Linked DNA regions of Notamacropus eugenii. The protein of the gene in region 1 purifies or fractionates together with the protein of each later gene. This does not show direct contact. Links are inferred from orthologs where the notes say so. Each region holds a gene or a part of one and is shown on either strand. Other genes may lie near its edges.

The links. Proteins that work in one complex are often made in the same cells at the same time.
Region 2: the proteins of RND3 (region 1) and PLEKHG5 purify together in Homo sapiens (affinity purification with western blotting; 3 studies listed by BioGRID and IntAct, with this or other methods). This does not show direct contact. The link is inferred for Notamacropus eugenii from reciprocal best matches to the Homo sapiens genes RND3 and PLEKHG5.

Annotation. Positions count from the first base shown.
Region 1 is NC_092876.1:207,409,750-207,417,545, forward strand, and holds the start of RND3 (rho-related GTP-binding protein RhoE), read right to left. Parts: upstream 3,021-7,796; 5' UTR 2,670-3,020; coding exon 2,520-2,669; intron 2,022-2,519; coding exon 1,934-2,021; intron 1-1,933. UniProt on the Homo sapiens protein: Binds GTP but lacks intrinsic GTPase activity and is resistant to Rho-specific GTPase-activating proteins.
Region 2 is NC_092876.1:44,868,432-44,875,513, reverse strand, and holds the start of PLEKHG5 (pleckstrin homology domain-containing family G member 5), read left to right. Parts: upstream 1-4,081; 5' UTR 4,082-4,484; coding exon 4,485-4,736; intron 4,737-4,771; exon of another isoform or gene 4,772-5,024; intron 5,025-7,082. UniProt on the Homo sapiens protein: Functions as a guanine exchange factor (GEF) for RAB26 and thus regulates autophagy of synaptic vesicles in axon terminal of motoneurons. Involved in the control of neuronal cell differentiation.

The sequences.
Region 1 (7,796 bases):
CAGGGAGTGGAATCCCCAGGGAGAAAGAAGGCAGTGTGGTCTCAGCCCCTCCCTCCTTCTGCCGCCCCCCTCAGCACATGGTGAGGCGTTGGGAAGCGCCTGGCTCTCCAAGTGGAAAATGAAAAGCTGCCCATCTGGGCTGGATTGATTGTAGCAACAGCGGAGTCTGGCCCGGACTGCAGCTGAGAGAGGCTTTTAGGGGAAGGGGACTAGACTGCGCCTCCTGTCCCCCACTGTGCATGCGCGGGCTTTATCACTGCAGGGAGCCTCGGCTGGCCCCTTTCTCTGGCCCTTTCTTGCCCTCACTATTCAGGTTCACACCGAGGATCAGGGCTGACCACACGGCCAGAGCTAGACCGCTACCAGCCGAAAGAAGCCGTCTCCTCCGCCTACTCCTCTGGGCGGCACCGACAAATATCCCTCAGGGGCAGATCCGACAAGCCCGCCCTGGTCTCTTAGTTAAGTCTTCACTTCAGCTTCCCACCCAGCCCGACCCTCGTGGCAGCTTCGTTTCTTTCCCGTCCTCCCAAATCCCACTTAGATCGGTGCTCCCCATCTCAAAGCGTCCGCTGCTTTCTTTTAAACCCCGAGTCCAGCCTCAGGAGCGCGGGGAAGGTTCTCTCCGCAAAGGGACTGGGAGACCTTAACTCTCGGTAGGGTGGCAGTGGACAGGTCTCAGACTAAGCCGCCTCCAGATCGCCACCGATCAGCCCCCACCTCCGCACTGCCCCCACCAAGGACACATTAGACACCTCCCCCTAACATCCAAGTCCTTTCCATCCTTTTTGCTTCTCCTCATTCTCGAACTGCCCCCCAAAGCTTGGATAGTTACCCCTCTACTTTAAAAGCCATGGCAAGGGGGTGGGGGTGAGAAGGCAGCAGCCCGGTTCTGAACTCAACTATCCCCTTTAAAAAGAATCACCCCAGTAATTCAAACAGAACGTAAAGGTAACACACCCAGCCCTGGCAGGAATTACTGTATCACTATGTATCATTTCCCAGTCTAGGGTTCAGAGGGACATGCTCTACACCTTATTCCATGTTGCAAAGCAGCCCCTACAAGGAGGGAAACCCTCCAGCTCGGAGTTTTCTCTCCCTCCCCCCACGACTCCGTTCCGGGCACCTCGCTGTTGTACAACCGCCTGCACATACTTTCCTGTCATCGTCACGAATACCAGAGATTGCCTGCGCTCATGTTACTTTCTGGTAGGTTAGGATTCCGCACTTAACCGCGCCTATTTGGGGATTTTCCTCCTCCTCCCACAGCCACCCCCCCCTTCCCTTTCACCCTCCTAGAAAGCCATCAAGTTGCACAGAGAAGGTGTTCCCAGGTTCATAACTAGGTATAGTGCAGAGGGGACCTCGCTGCTGTCTCTCCCTCCAGGTTCAAGGACGACCGCCCCCGCCTCCCCCCAACACCCACCCTTAGGAGCGTGGGGGAAAGGGACAACGACCTCAGCAGAAGCGCCCCTGCCTGGATCACCAAGCGTTAGACCTTAGCCCATTTCTATGTGCGGGTCCGAGAGTGCCTGGCTTACACTTCATGGATAGTTAAAAGCCCGTAATCATTCCTTTCCATTTTCTGTTTTCTGCGCTCGCTCTTAGGTCTCGGTTCTTCCTCCCCTCCATCCCCCCCGCATCTTCCTCCCCACAAAGAAATAATAGGCATTTGTTGCTGAATTGAATTCATCTCGACCGGAACGCGGGGATTACTCGAGGAGGAAAAACTTAAAGGAGGCACTGTGGCTTGCGGAGGAGGGGTGAGGGGGAATGCCAGAGGGCGCGCTGACCTCAGGGGTCCACCGCACTGGCCCGGCTCTAGCCTAGGGCACAGAAGTTACCCTATCTCAAACCCAGCACTCCCTACCCCCAGCACCCCAATCCCCGAGAGAAGGAGACAAACCCCGGTGTGAACACAGGTTTCTTTTCTTACCCGAAGTGTCCCACAGGCTCAGCTCTATCCTTTGTGTGTCAATTTCAAAACTGGCCGTGTAATTTTCAAATACTGTAGGAACGTAATTCTGAAGGAATACACGGAGGAAACAAGGGAAACAGACCAAGAAGGGGGGAGAAACAACAAAAACCAAGGTTATCTTAAAAGGTATGGCACCAACAAAATCCCCCTGCCCCTTTAGAAATGAAAGCACGCAACCCAACAGACACCAGACACGAGGAACCAAATCTCTCCCTCTCATCCCCTACCTCCCCCAAACCCTAAGACCGACCCTCCGCCCCCACCATCAAAATCACTGCGATCTCACACCAGCCTAACCCTAACATCTTCTCTCCAGATGAAAGACAAGTTTTAAATGCAAGGAGATTAATGGTCAGGCTTTTTCAAGCCCCAGTGCCTTCTTCCTTATTCCTTTCCCCTTTAAAGGGATCTTACAAGGAAGGGTGAAGGAGACGGGAGGCTAAGGAGGTTAGAACACTAAAACAATTAAATTAAAAAAAAAAACCCACTGGTCTCTAGCGGCTTTGAATCCCACTTGGTCAGTGGCAAGGAAAGCTGGACGTACCTCGGGAAAGCAGTCCTTAGCAAACACATGAAGCAGCGCCGTTTTCCCACACTGGCTGTCTCCAACTACCACTATTTTGCATTTTACGTTCTGATTAGGATCCATCATAGATTTACTGTTTAATTTCTGGCTGGCTCTTCTCTCCTTCATTGATCTTGCCTTATTTTCTCTTGGAAAAGAAATCTTCTTTTAAGAGAAAAAAATGTATAAAAATCTTTGTTAAAAAAATATTTAAAAAATTATAAATGAAGAGGGTAGCCAGAACCCCTGTAAGCGCACAGGCGTTGTGGAGTGGAAAAGGTTGGGTTCCTCCCCTTGAAACAAGTTTTATATCCCGGATTCCAAACCTCGCCTCTCCAGTCCAATTCCGATCTGAATGCTTTGTTTCACGCTTTCTGCTTGGCTTTATATGCTGCGTCTTCCAATCCTGTTCTTTCTCAATGAGAGAAAGAAACTGATCCGCCTCCTCCCCTTTTATGGAGCCTGGGAGAGTGCGGAGTCTCCTTGCCTGCTGAAAACCTGTATGCCGTGCGCCCTCTAGGGGAACTGCTTAGAATCCATTTCAAGGCCAGACTCCCGAGGTTTGAGAAAAATCCTTTGTAGTGTGTTATTGCAGTATGAGGCGGACTGTCTACTAACTGCAGCAAGTGCGTGCCTCCGGGAACAAACAAGTGGGAAATAGAATCCCTGGATACCGGGTTACTTCCTGAGTAGGTGTCACCACGAATTTCCTCTTTGTTAATAGAAGCTAACCTACAAAATAACCAAAATAACCGAAATAAAGAGAACCACCCCCTCAGCTATTCGGGTTAAAGCAACTCCTTCTAAAGGCTTTGAATGGAGCACTTTGCTCTCAAAAACTTTTGAAGAGGCACACACACATATACATAATATATATGAGATATATGAATGTTGTATATGATATATATACATATATTGTAGTTTCTCAGTTCTGTGCGACTCCGCTTGACCCTACAGGCTTTGTCTATGGAATTTTCTTGGCAAAGATACTGGAGTCATTTTTACCATTTCCTTCTCTAATGTGTTCACATTTTATAGATGAGGAACTAAGGCAAATAGGGTTGAGTAACTTGTCCAGGGTCACAGTATCTGTGGCCAGATTTGAATTCAGATCTTACTGACTTCTGTAACCATATAGGTGCCCCATATACTTATTATATAGATTTGCTTGTATACGTATATAGGCATATATATATGTATATGTGTATAAATATATATTTGGTAGAGCAAAGTCTGAGTTGAATTTTAACATACTCTTTTACAAACATTAGTACAGGCTGAAAAGGGATTGTAAAGGAAGCAGCTCAGTCCTTGGAATAAGCGTGAAGTGACTGTGTAAGCTTCTTTGTAGGGCAAATGTTCATAAGTGAAGCCTTTCCAGGATGAAGGAAAATCCTGATACCATTTAGGAGACAACCCCATAAGAGTTTCATTCTGTGGAGTGAAGCCCTGAGGAGTTCTGGTCTAGGGTTAGGAGGAGGGAAAGCCCCCTGTAGCTTCTTGATAAAGGTTGGCTGTAGGTCACACCTGTGGTCTCCCAGCTCTTTGTCCTCTTGTTTGCTACTGGGGACCCTAGCCAGGCAGAGCTAATCTGATTTTCCCCGTTTCATGGAGGAGGGGGAGTAAGAAAGGAAAACCCGAATGAAATAGTGTTGCACTATGTAACTGTGCAGAGCTATAAAAATATAAACTGTTATTAATGGATTCATTTTCATTGAGACTATCTCTTAATCTCTTCCACTGCCCACGGTAAGAAAAGCTGGGTTCTATTATCAGGCCAGTGGTAAATTCCAACAACCCTGCAGGAGGCTGGAAAATTTTCTTTCTCAGGACCACAGGAAGCTTCCAAGGAAAGCACCTACCTTATGGCTTGCACAGAGTCTGCGCTTAGTAAATATCTGTTAAATTGTTGAATAGGAGTTGCAGAGACATTTCCCTGTGACTCAGAGGAGGTTTTATTTATTTTATTAAAGTTGTCCACTACCCTGCTACACTGCAACTAGGGCTTAACCTGATTACACTTAGAATCAAATCTATTTTGACTACTGAGAATCCTTGTAATATTCTACTAGAGAAAGGCTTCTTCACCTGAGATTAATAACCTAAGGGTAGAATTGTTTTTATTAATATTTTGAAAATTGGATTTTAATATAATTGGTTTTCTGATGACTCATGTATTTTATGGATTTAAAAACACTATTCTGAGAAGAGGTCTTGAAGGCTTCACTAAACTGCCAAGAAGTTCATGATTCATACAAAAAAAAAGATTAACCCATTTACAAGATCTTTGTGAATTTCTAAAATGCCAATTAGGTCATAGAATTTTGGATTAGAAAGGACTTTGGATATTATCCCCTCACTTAATGAATAAGGGAAAACTAAGTCAAGGAGACTTGTCTAAGGTCACACAGGGAGTAGACACAGAGCTGCGATTCAATCCCAGGGCTTCTCACCCCAAATCCAGGGGTTTCTTTCCACTATGCTATATTTCTTACTGCCACATCACAGTTGGAGGTTGGGAAGCAACATAAGAGGTTGGGAAGAACAATGAGCTCAATATAGAAATTTCAAAGGTCAGGGATTGATAGTGAGGAGAATGGGAGAGGCACTAGTGAAAAGAGCATGAAAAATTGCTCTTACTTGACCTAGATGTGCAGATATGCAGAGGAACATGGAATCTGACCTTTTCTGCCTAAGGTTCTGTCCGTAGATCTGAAGACCTTATTGTAGCGAAAGCTCTTTTAGGAGGCAGGAACACTGGTCACTGTATATACCAGTTATTTAATATCCTGCCTGGGGTATATGAAGTGTTCAAGGAGGACTAATACCTCCAGTATGAGGGCTTCCTGAGCCCTTTTCAGGGCTGCTCATCCACCTTTGGTGTCCATCTGCCACCCAGCTCTCACCTGTGGCTCTAAGGAGCTGTAGCATGGGCAGTGATCACACTCTGGTAAAACCATCTCAGAGGATGGGTTAAACCGGGTGGAGGGGAACCAAGAAGCTTCAAACCCATCAGTGAATTTAAGGGGATGTTTATCCCAAGTATTCCAAATGAAGACTTTCCAATGCAATGGAAGGTGAGGGCAGCTGAAGGAGGTGCTGCGATGTGCTTAGAGCTTGGTCAGGCATTGCAAATGCCAAAGTCATCCACTGTATCCCAAGCCATCAGCCATCGTCGAGACTTTGTCTACTCACTGGACTTTAATGACTGGAAGAGAGAAGCATCTGATGACTTTGTGCAGCTCTGCCTTACTTAAATCCAATTCACCCACAGACATTACCCCATGAGGTCATTAGTAAACAAAAGACACAAAACAACACCCTGCCTTCATTCTATTTAGCTTGTGGGACCTGACTTGAACCTATGGATTAATGTCAATTCAACAAACATTTATTAAATACCTATTATGTGTGAGGGACTATACTTGGCTTTGGAGTTTCAAAGAAAAAAATGAAAGTTTTCTTGACTTTCTACTGCTGGGCAGATAGAATATGTACACAAATGAGTACATGAAAAGTAATTTCAGGAGACATAGCATTGAATGTTGGAAGACTCAAGGTAAGCCCTTATATAAAATGTAACCACTGCTGAGCCTTGATGAAAGCTAATGATTCTATACAAGTATACATGACGAAGGGGTTCAGTGCTGGCATGGGGTACAGTCTGCAAAGGCACCAAGAGGAGAGAGAACCACAAGTTGAGAGGGAACAGATAATAGGCCAGACTGACTGAAATATAGAATTCAGGAAAGGGATGAAGTAATTTGAAGTAAAACTGGAAGTAAATGGGAGCCTGGTTATGAAGGATTTTAAATGTCCAAATGGTGAGTTTGGATTTGATTTTAGTGTCAATAGTCCACTAGAGTCCACTTATGATTAGGCTACTGACATGGTTAGACTTTGATTAAGGAAGATTATTTTGGCAGCTCTGTGGAAAATGAATTGAAGAAGGGAGAGATTAAAGGAGGGAGACCTGTTAGAGGCTACTGTAGCATAAAATAAGAAGTGATGAACACTTGAACTGGGATATTGGCTGTGTAAGTGGAGAGGAAAAGGTGGATAGAAATGATTTTCCAGAGCTCTAATCAATAGCTGAGGCAAGGATGACTCTGAGGCAGAAACCTGATTGATTGTAAAGATGGTGGTACCCTCAACAGAAATGGGGAAAATTTGAAGAAGATATGGGTTTGTAAAAACAGTGTTCTTACATACAAAGTTATTACTTACTTCTTGAATAGCAAACGAACAACCTAGACTCTTTTCCAGAAAGCAGTTTTGTGGTTAACCGGTTTCCAAGAATCTGTAAGTTTCCCAGCAAAACAATCATAGCACAGCATAGCAAAGAAAACTGAGCTGCGTGTCAGGGAGTCTGAATCACATAGGTGAGTGGTGGCCAAAAATAGGCACTTTGTTCCAGAAAGTTACAGGGATGGTAAATGGCTATGTAGAAACGTCAATTGACATATCCTATCCCGGAATAATAGCAAAGTTGATTTGATTATGGCTCATGGTTCCGGAGCTAGAAGTGAGAGAATGGGGGAGGGAGAAGGAAGGGGTCTCTAATGTGGGTGGCAAAGAAATTTCAAAGTAGTTGGTCTGAGAGAAGAGAATGAAATAAAAGCACGTATGGGGCTTCCTTGTAACAATGCTCCAGGAGAGGCAGACCCCAGGATGGAAGTTCCTCTAAGACATAGTCTGTGATGATGGCTAACAAGGTGGTTATAGAGGAGGTTGTATAGGAAATGATTGGAGAGGAGGGTGTATGTAGGAGACAACAAGTTGCTTTTGGGGAACAACTAGCTCAGTCTGTCTGCAACATATTATATATCAAGGAGAAAGATGTGGCACAAGTTTATAATGTTAGGCTAGAACCATGTCCTGGAGGGTTTTGAACGCAAGACATATCAGACCATGTGTGGCCAGGACTTTATTCTGTCTCATTATGTTCTTTCTAAGTGATGACTGCTAACACAATTGATTGTTGCATTGTGGTCTTATACACCTCTCTTTGGACAAAATGAAATGATGCAGCTGTGTATGTATGTTGAATAGCTATTGACCACCCACTTCATTGTTTTAATTTTAATTTAATTTAACCTGTCATATTTGGAAGTTTATACAATGAATTTAAACCTGCTGTTCTATGGGAAATATCAAAATTGAAATGAACCCCCACCTTTCCCAAACTTAAACTTTTTGGATTCTGGATTTTTAAAAATACCTTGAAATGTTAAAAAAAAAAATGCCTTCCAGATA
Region 2 (7,082 bases), about 160 Mb from region 1:
ACTTACTAGCTCTGTGCACATCATGTAATATCAGTTTCTTAATTTGCAAAGTGGAGGTAGTAACAGTATCTTCTTCACTGGGTTATTCTTGAGTGACAAATGAGATAAGGGACCTAGATCCTTCGGGAAGCCTTTAAGCACTGCGTAAGTGCTGGCAATTTTAGGTAGTGCCTGATGTCTGCTGGAGGAACAGGAAAGGGCGAAATGATAGGAGTGATGCCTGGGTATGGAGATCAGGGCAAAGTTCACTTACAGATCCTGTAGATTTAGGGCTGGACGAAACCCTGAAGGTCATCTGAGCCACCCTGATCTGAACGCATAGAAACTGAGACCTGGAAAAATTAACTGACTTGTCTGTGAAGGCACAGCTAAGAAACTGAGGCTTGAGCCTAAGTCATCATCCTCATCATCATCATGGCCAACATTTGGATAGTTCTTCCTATGTGCCAAGTGCTTTACAAATATCTTAATAATAATATCTAGCATTTACATAGTGCTTACTGTGTTCCAAGTGCCATGCCAGGTGCTTTACAAATGTCATCTCATTTAATAATAGCATTTACGTAGCCCTTACTGTATGCCAAGCACCATGCCAAGTGTATTCCAAATAGCATCTCATTTAATAATTATAATAGCTAGCATTTATATAGTGCTTCTTTGTGCCAAGCATCATGCTAAGTGCTTTCCTAATATCCTCTTGTTTAATAATATTATTAAATATTATAATTTTTATAAATATTTAATATAAATGTAATTTTTGTAATTCTCCCCATTTTATAGATAACGAAGAGGGTAAGTGAGTTCCTCAGGGTCACACAAGCTATTAAATATCTGAGGAAGAATTTGAATTCAAGTTTTCTTGGCTCCAAGTCCCAGACTGTATCCTAGCTAAGGTCATCCTTATTCCAAGTCCAGAGCTTTTTTTCTGCCAGACTAGAGCAGGACAGAGAGCACTGATCAAGGGTATACCATGCCTTGGAATACAGAGTCTCCAAACTGGAAGAGAAGTTGGGTTGGCCATCCACTCCAGCCCATATTGGTAAAGGAAGTGCTTTTACTGGGGGACATGGTAATCTAGTCTCCATGGTAGCCCTCCAGTGGAGGGTGAGGGGCCCTACCCCCGCAAGTCAGCCCCTTCTCTTTCTGACTAGTGGTAGTTATTTGGAAATTTTTTTCTTGACGTTAATTGCCTCTTGTGCTTTTCTATCGTTTGCTTTTAATTTCACCTCCAGGGCTGAGCAGAAGAAAACGAATCCTTCCACCCGATACCTCATATACTTGAAGGCAGCTTTGGGGTCCTCCGTTTGTCTTCCCTTCTCCAGCCTAAAACTCCTCCTAGGTCTCATGTGGCATGATCTTCAGACCCTTGACCATCTTGGTGGACCTTTGTGCAATGAGAAATGCATATTAATATGACTTTTAAAAATATTCTTATTTTGAAGTCTAGAAAATTCCATTCTCCATAGCATGTAGAGAGGCATCAGACAATACTTGGGTTGAAATCTCAGATTATAATCGTACTTCCTAGATGTGTGATCTTGGGCAAATCACTTCACTTTTCTGACTCAGTTTTCTCATCTGTAAAATGGGGATAATTCAACTTATGTACCTATTTCCAAACCCACAGGCATTCATTAAGCACTCACTACATGTTGGACACAGTGCTCAGAACCGGGATTGCAAAGACAAATATGCTGGTCCCTGCTCTCAAATAACTGACATTCTACTGGGGAAAGGAGATATAATACATACGTGTGTGTGTATGTGTTTGTGTGTGTACAGGTAAACGTAGGGACAGCTAGGTGGCACAATGGATAGAGTGCCTGAAGTTTGAACTCTTCCTGAGTTCAAATCTAACCTCAGGCACTTACTAGCTGTGTGACCCTGGGTAAGTCACTTCACCCTGTTTGCCTCAGTCTCCTCATCTGTAAAAAGAAATGGCAAACCACTACAGTATCTTTGCCAAGAAAATCCCAAATGAGGTCACAAAGAGTTGGATATGACTGAAAATGACTGAACAACAACAATCTATATATGATTTGACAGGCAGTGTACCACAGTGGGCAGAGACTTGTGGTCAGAACCAGGAAGACCTGAGTTCAAGTCTTGCCTCTTACACATACTGCCTTTTGTGATCCTTGACAAGTCACTTAAATCTTTGGTCACTCTCTAAGACTATTAGTTGCTTAAATGGTTCTGACTTGTCTTGGTAGAGGAACTTCCCTGATCTAGCAGTTTCCTATGTCAGTGAAAGCCCAGGTGCAGCCCCTATCCTATATACATCTGACACCTCCAGTTCAAAAGTCAGGCCAGCTGTATGTGAAGCCAGGTTAGTAGGGACAGGGGATATTTGTGGGAGTCTGAGGCTATGAAAAAGAGGGTCCTAGTCTGCCAAATCAGGTATCCTTGGGCATTCAAGTAAAGCCAGAAGAGAAGGTCTGTCATGGATTGGGGGCAATGACACAAGAGACACAGAGATAGTGGAAGGAGAGGGAGACAGATCGACAGAATGAAGAAGAAATGGCTCCTGGGTCATGGAATCATAGACCAATGACCTGAGGCTTCCCGGAGATTGGTGGAGTGTGGGTGGGAGTCAGCAGACAACAGACCAAAATAGTTTACCTGAGAGCCTTGCACCTAATCCCAGTGCTTTAATGGTCAGGGATTTCAGCTTTATCTCCCTTTTGGATAAGAGGATAAGGACTAAGGTGGAGACTGACCTAGGAGATCTCTGCTGGCACCCAACTGCATTCCTATTTCTCTTAAAAAAAAATACACACACACATATCTGTATATATATACATACACACACACAGAGATATATATATATATCTGGATATATACACATATATAATATATACGCATGTATATATTAATGATCTTAAGAAACCCCACAAACCTATCACTTGCCAGGGATTTTCCCACCTAAAGAACCCTCTGGTATAACAGAATATAATGAAGCAAACCAAAACAACAGGTTAGCTGAGTCGGATAACTAAATACCTCACTCTGCTCCTGTAGTCCACCACCTCTCTGGCCAGAGGTGCTAGGCTCAGGGTCCAAGTCCTCTGAAGTCCTGACTGTCCACTTCACTGGTTGATCAGACTTCTGGTGTCTTTAAATCTGATCGATTTTCCTTTATGTTACTATGTATAAATAACATCCTATAAATTGTTCATCCTATAAAGAGCTCACCTGGGTACTGTATCAAGTTATGCAAGTCTTCCCAAGTTTCTCTGAATTCTGCATATTTGTCATTGTTTGGAGTTGATAGCATCCCGTTCCACTCACATTCCATTCCATACCACAATTTATTCAACTACTTCTCCAACTGATTGGCACCAACTCTGCTACCATAAAAAGTGCTGCTATAAATATTTATATGTAGTTGTGTACTCCAGCCTCTTAGGGATGAGAGGAGACCCCAGAAAGCCGATTTCCTGCTGCCTCTTGGCGGCCGGTGACCTGGGACTCCTCACACTGCTCCTGCCCCCCCCCACCTCATTTCCATCTCCACCAACAGTTTGGCCACAGGTTAAGGGGAGGGACATTTTGTGAGAAGGAAGCTGATCATTCTGTAATATGGATGTTGATAAGGGCCGACCATACAGGGTCTTCAGCTTCCCAAGGAGACCGCCCCCATCTCCCCAGTAGCACCCTAGGGTTCAGCCTGGACATTTCTGCGGAGTGTGTGTGAGATTGGTAGCGCTCATAGGCTAATAATCCCACCCTCGATCTCCTTTTCCCCCTCCACTGAACGTGGGGGCCCAGCTCAAGGGGCAGACTCCGGCCTTGGCTGGGTGCCATTGGTGGCAGCTCTCGATCTGAGACCTGGGCTCCCATCCATCTTTGCACTGTTATTTTAAACTCCAGCTGCTCCCCTCGGGTGCCGCGTGGGGAGGAGGAGTTAACCTGGCGTCGCGAGCCTGTTTTCCCCCTCAACTCAGTGCCAGGGATAGGGTCAAAAGAAAAAAAAGCAGGGAGTGTTTTGGGAGCACACAGGGAGAGTTTCCAGGGCGCGGCCAGAGTGCGGTTAGAAAGGAGTTATTTATAGCCAGGGAGCGGAAATCTGGAGGGTCCGGGAGCAGGGTAGGGAGTGAACGAGGGAGCGAGTCGGAGCAACCGTCGGGGGCATTCTGTGGGCTCCCAGGGGTCCCGCAGGCTGCTGGAGAGCGGGGCGGAGACAGAGCCCTGCGCCCACCCACCTGCGCGCTCTCCAGCTGTGCAGCGCAGCCCTACTCAGCCTTGTGTTTGCGGTCCAAGCTCCCACCTGCCCCCTCCCCAGCGGCGATCCGGAGACAACTAGCTTCCAGCCTTAGTGAAAGGCATTCCTGGACCGCTCTCCAGCCCTCCCCTTTGCCCAAAGCATTTCCCTGAGTTTGAGGGAGGGTAGAGGGGAAGGGGGAGGAGTCACGCCCTAGAGGTTGTCCCAGTATTCATCCTCGAGCTTGAAGGCTGCTCCGCATCCCGCTGGCGACCGCCATATGTGGCTCTCTGCCTTCAGGACGCCCCTTCAGATGACAGCCTCAGCCCCAGTCCCTTCCCCACGCGGAAGAGCGCTGCAGAGCCGGCCGCAGGGGCTGCCTGCAACCCAAGGGGGCTGCCCGAGTCCTCTGGCCGGGATCCCCGAGGGCTGTGGAAGATCGCGCCCGTGCCCCTGCCCACTCCTTCCTTTCCTGGCTGCTGCCCCGCGAGGCCCGGGCCCAGCCTTGTTCTGTCCACGCCCTGCACCCTTAGTAAGTAGTACATTCCTCCTTCACTCCCATGCCCCGCAGGTGGTAGATCCCGACAGCGCTACCGTAATTACCGGGCTTGGCCTGGCGGCGAGGTGGCTCCCCCGGGGGAACCTGGCTCCTCCTCTTCCCCCTCTTCTCCTCCTCCCCATCCTGGGGCTGCCACAGTGCTGAGTCTCAGCTCCAGCCTAGGGCGACCAGCTGGCCCCTCTGATACCTAGGAGGGAGGCTGGGAGAGGCTCCCACCGTCACGCACATCGCTGAGCTTGAACCTTGGACTGGAAACTGGGGGTGAGTAAGGGGTGGAAGGGAGACGCCAGGTAAAAGAGGAGGAGGCGAGCCCGGGAGGGGAGCGTGGGAGGTGATCGACTGAAAACTGAAACGTCTCCGCACCCCGCCGCGCTTTTCCCTTGGAGTGCTAGAGGGGACGGCGTGGTCTTTACTGTTCTGGGGGCCTCGGGTTCCTAGTTAAGGTAGGGACCGTGGCGGTGGCCAGTGAAACGATTGACACTTACGCAGGCACTGGCCTGGGTATCAGTTTATCCCTCTTGTCAGTGGGCACAAAACTCATCTCCTCCAAACGAGGCTCCCAGAGGCGCTTCGGCTTCGCGGACACTGACTTTCCCTAGGGACCTTTCCTCTCTTTCGGCTGATAAGCTTTTTAGGGGTCTCAGCTCGGAGTTGCGGGCTGTTTTTTCTGGTCCAATAGTAACCCGAAGGTCCACGCAGAACCAGTAGGGGAAACCCGAGGAAGTCACTACTGGGAAAGGAGGGTGTATGGTCTCAAGAAGACCCCTCTGGGGCCGGTGAAAATCGAGAAAGATGAAGAAGCAGTGAAGAGGGGGTGGAAAGACCTCAGGTTTCATCCTCTGACCCAAGTCACAACCCCTAAGAGCTTCGGCTTCACCTGTTTTGTCATTGTGACCCGTCCACCAGAATCTCCAGTATTGACATAATGCTTTCCATAAGTTTTCTCATTTGATCCTCTCAACAACACGGGAGAGAGAGGTGCTATTTTTATCCCTATTTTACGTAAGGGGAAACTGAGGTTGAGATCGAATAAATAAGTAGCTCAGGGTCACCGAGCTGTTAAGTGGCTGAGGTCACATTTGAATTCAGTTCCTTCTCTAAGAACAGTATTCTCTCCATGATACTACCTAGCTGTCAGTCACCTTGCCAGTTTGGTCGGAGGACTTCAGTCTGCAAAACTGAGATACTTTATTTTTAATGCCTAAGCCACAGAGCTATTGTGAAGGAAGTAAACTTCAAATTAGACTTCAGGAGGAGTTTTTGTGCCTGTTACAGAGAGGAGGAAACTGAGATTCAGTCATGGACCAGTCACTTTCTTAAATGTGAGCTGTCACTATAGGGACCAGATCTGGAGGCAGGCAGTCCAATACAATCCAGTCTGGGGATTCAGAGACAAAAGTTGTACACTCTGTTCCTAAGGGATTTACATTCTTCTGGGGGTGTGGTGGATTATTTGACCCAGAACTGGAAAGGACCTTAAGGGTCATCTTGACCAACCCTCTCTCCTCCTTATTCTTCCTCCCTCCCTCCCTCCATCTCTTCCTTCCTTAATTTCCTTTTCTTTCTTTCTCCTTCCTTCCTTCCTTCCTTCCTTCCTTCCTTCCTTCCTTCCTTCCTTCCTTCCTTCCTTCCTTCCTTCCTTCCTTCCCCCACAAAAATTCAATGACTTGCCCCAGATCACATAGGTAGGAGGAAGCAGACGTGGTATTTGATATTCCCAGACTAGGTGCCATTGTCCAGCTTTTTGGTCGTGCCTTCTCCTATTGTACTTTACAAACGCACACAGCTTACTCCACAGGTTTCCAGCTAAATGTCCTCCTTCCTGAGAGATTCATTCCCTATTTTACTCCTACCCCAACCCTATCCCCAGGGGATTGCACAGCAAATCATACTTTCCCCCTGTAATCAGAGCTCCAGAGTTCAAATCCTACTTCTTCCCCTTGTTATGGGGTCTTGGGTAAGTCACTTAATCTCCTTGTGCCTCAGTTTCCTTTTCTGTAGAGTGCAGAAGTTGGACCACACAACCTTGGAGTCCCCTTCCAATTCCAGATTTTTGATGAAATAGCAATGACCCCATGTCTATGGCGCTTCTCCCTATGGGTCAGTGCCAGTATTATTAGACTCATGCCCAAGTTCTCTTGGGATAGTGAGCAGGAAAGCTGGAGTACACACCTGGGCTGCTCAAATGCAAATTGAGCCTCTTTTCTGCTCCCCTCTTTGTCTTCTTCCACCCTGGGTTGGACTTGAGCGATTAAAGTTGAAAAAGTCCAAGGGATCAGCCTTCCAGCACTTACCATGTGCTCTGTCCTTGGTTCTGTG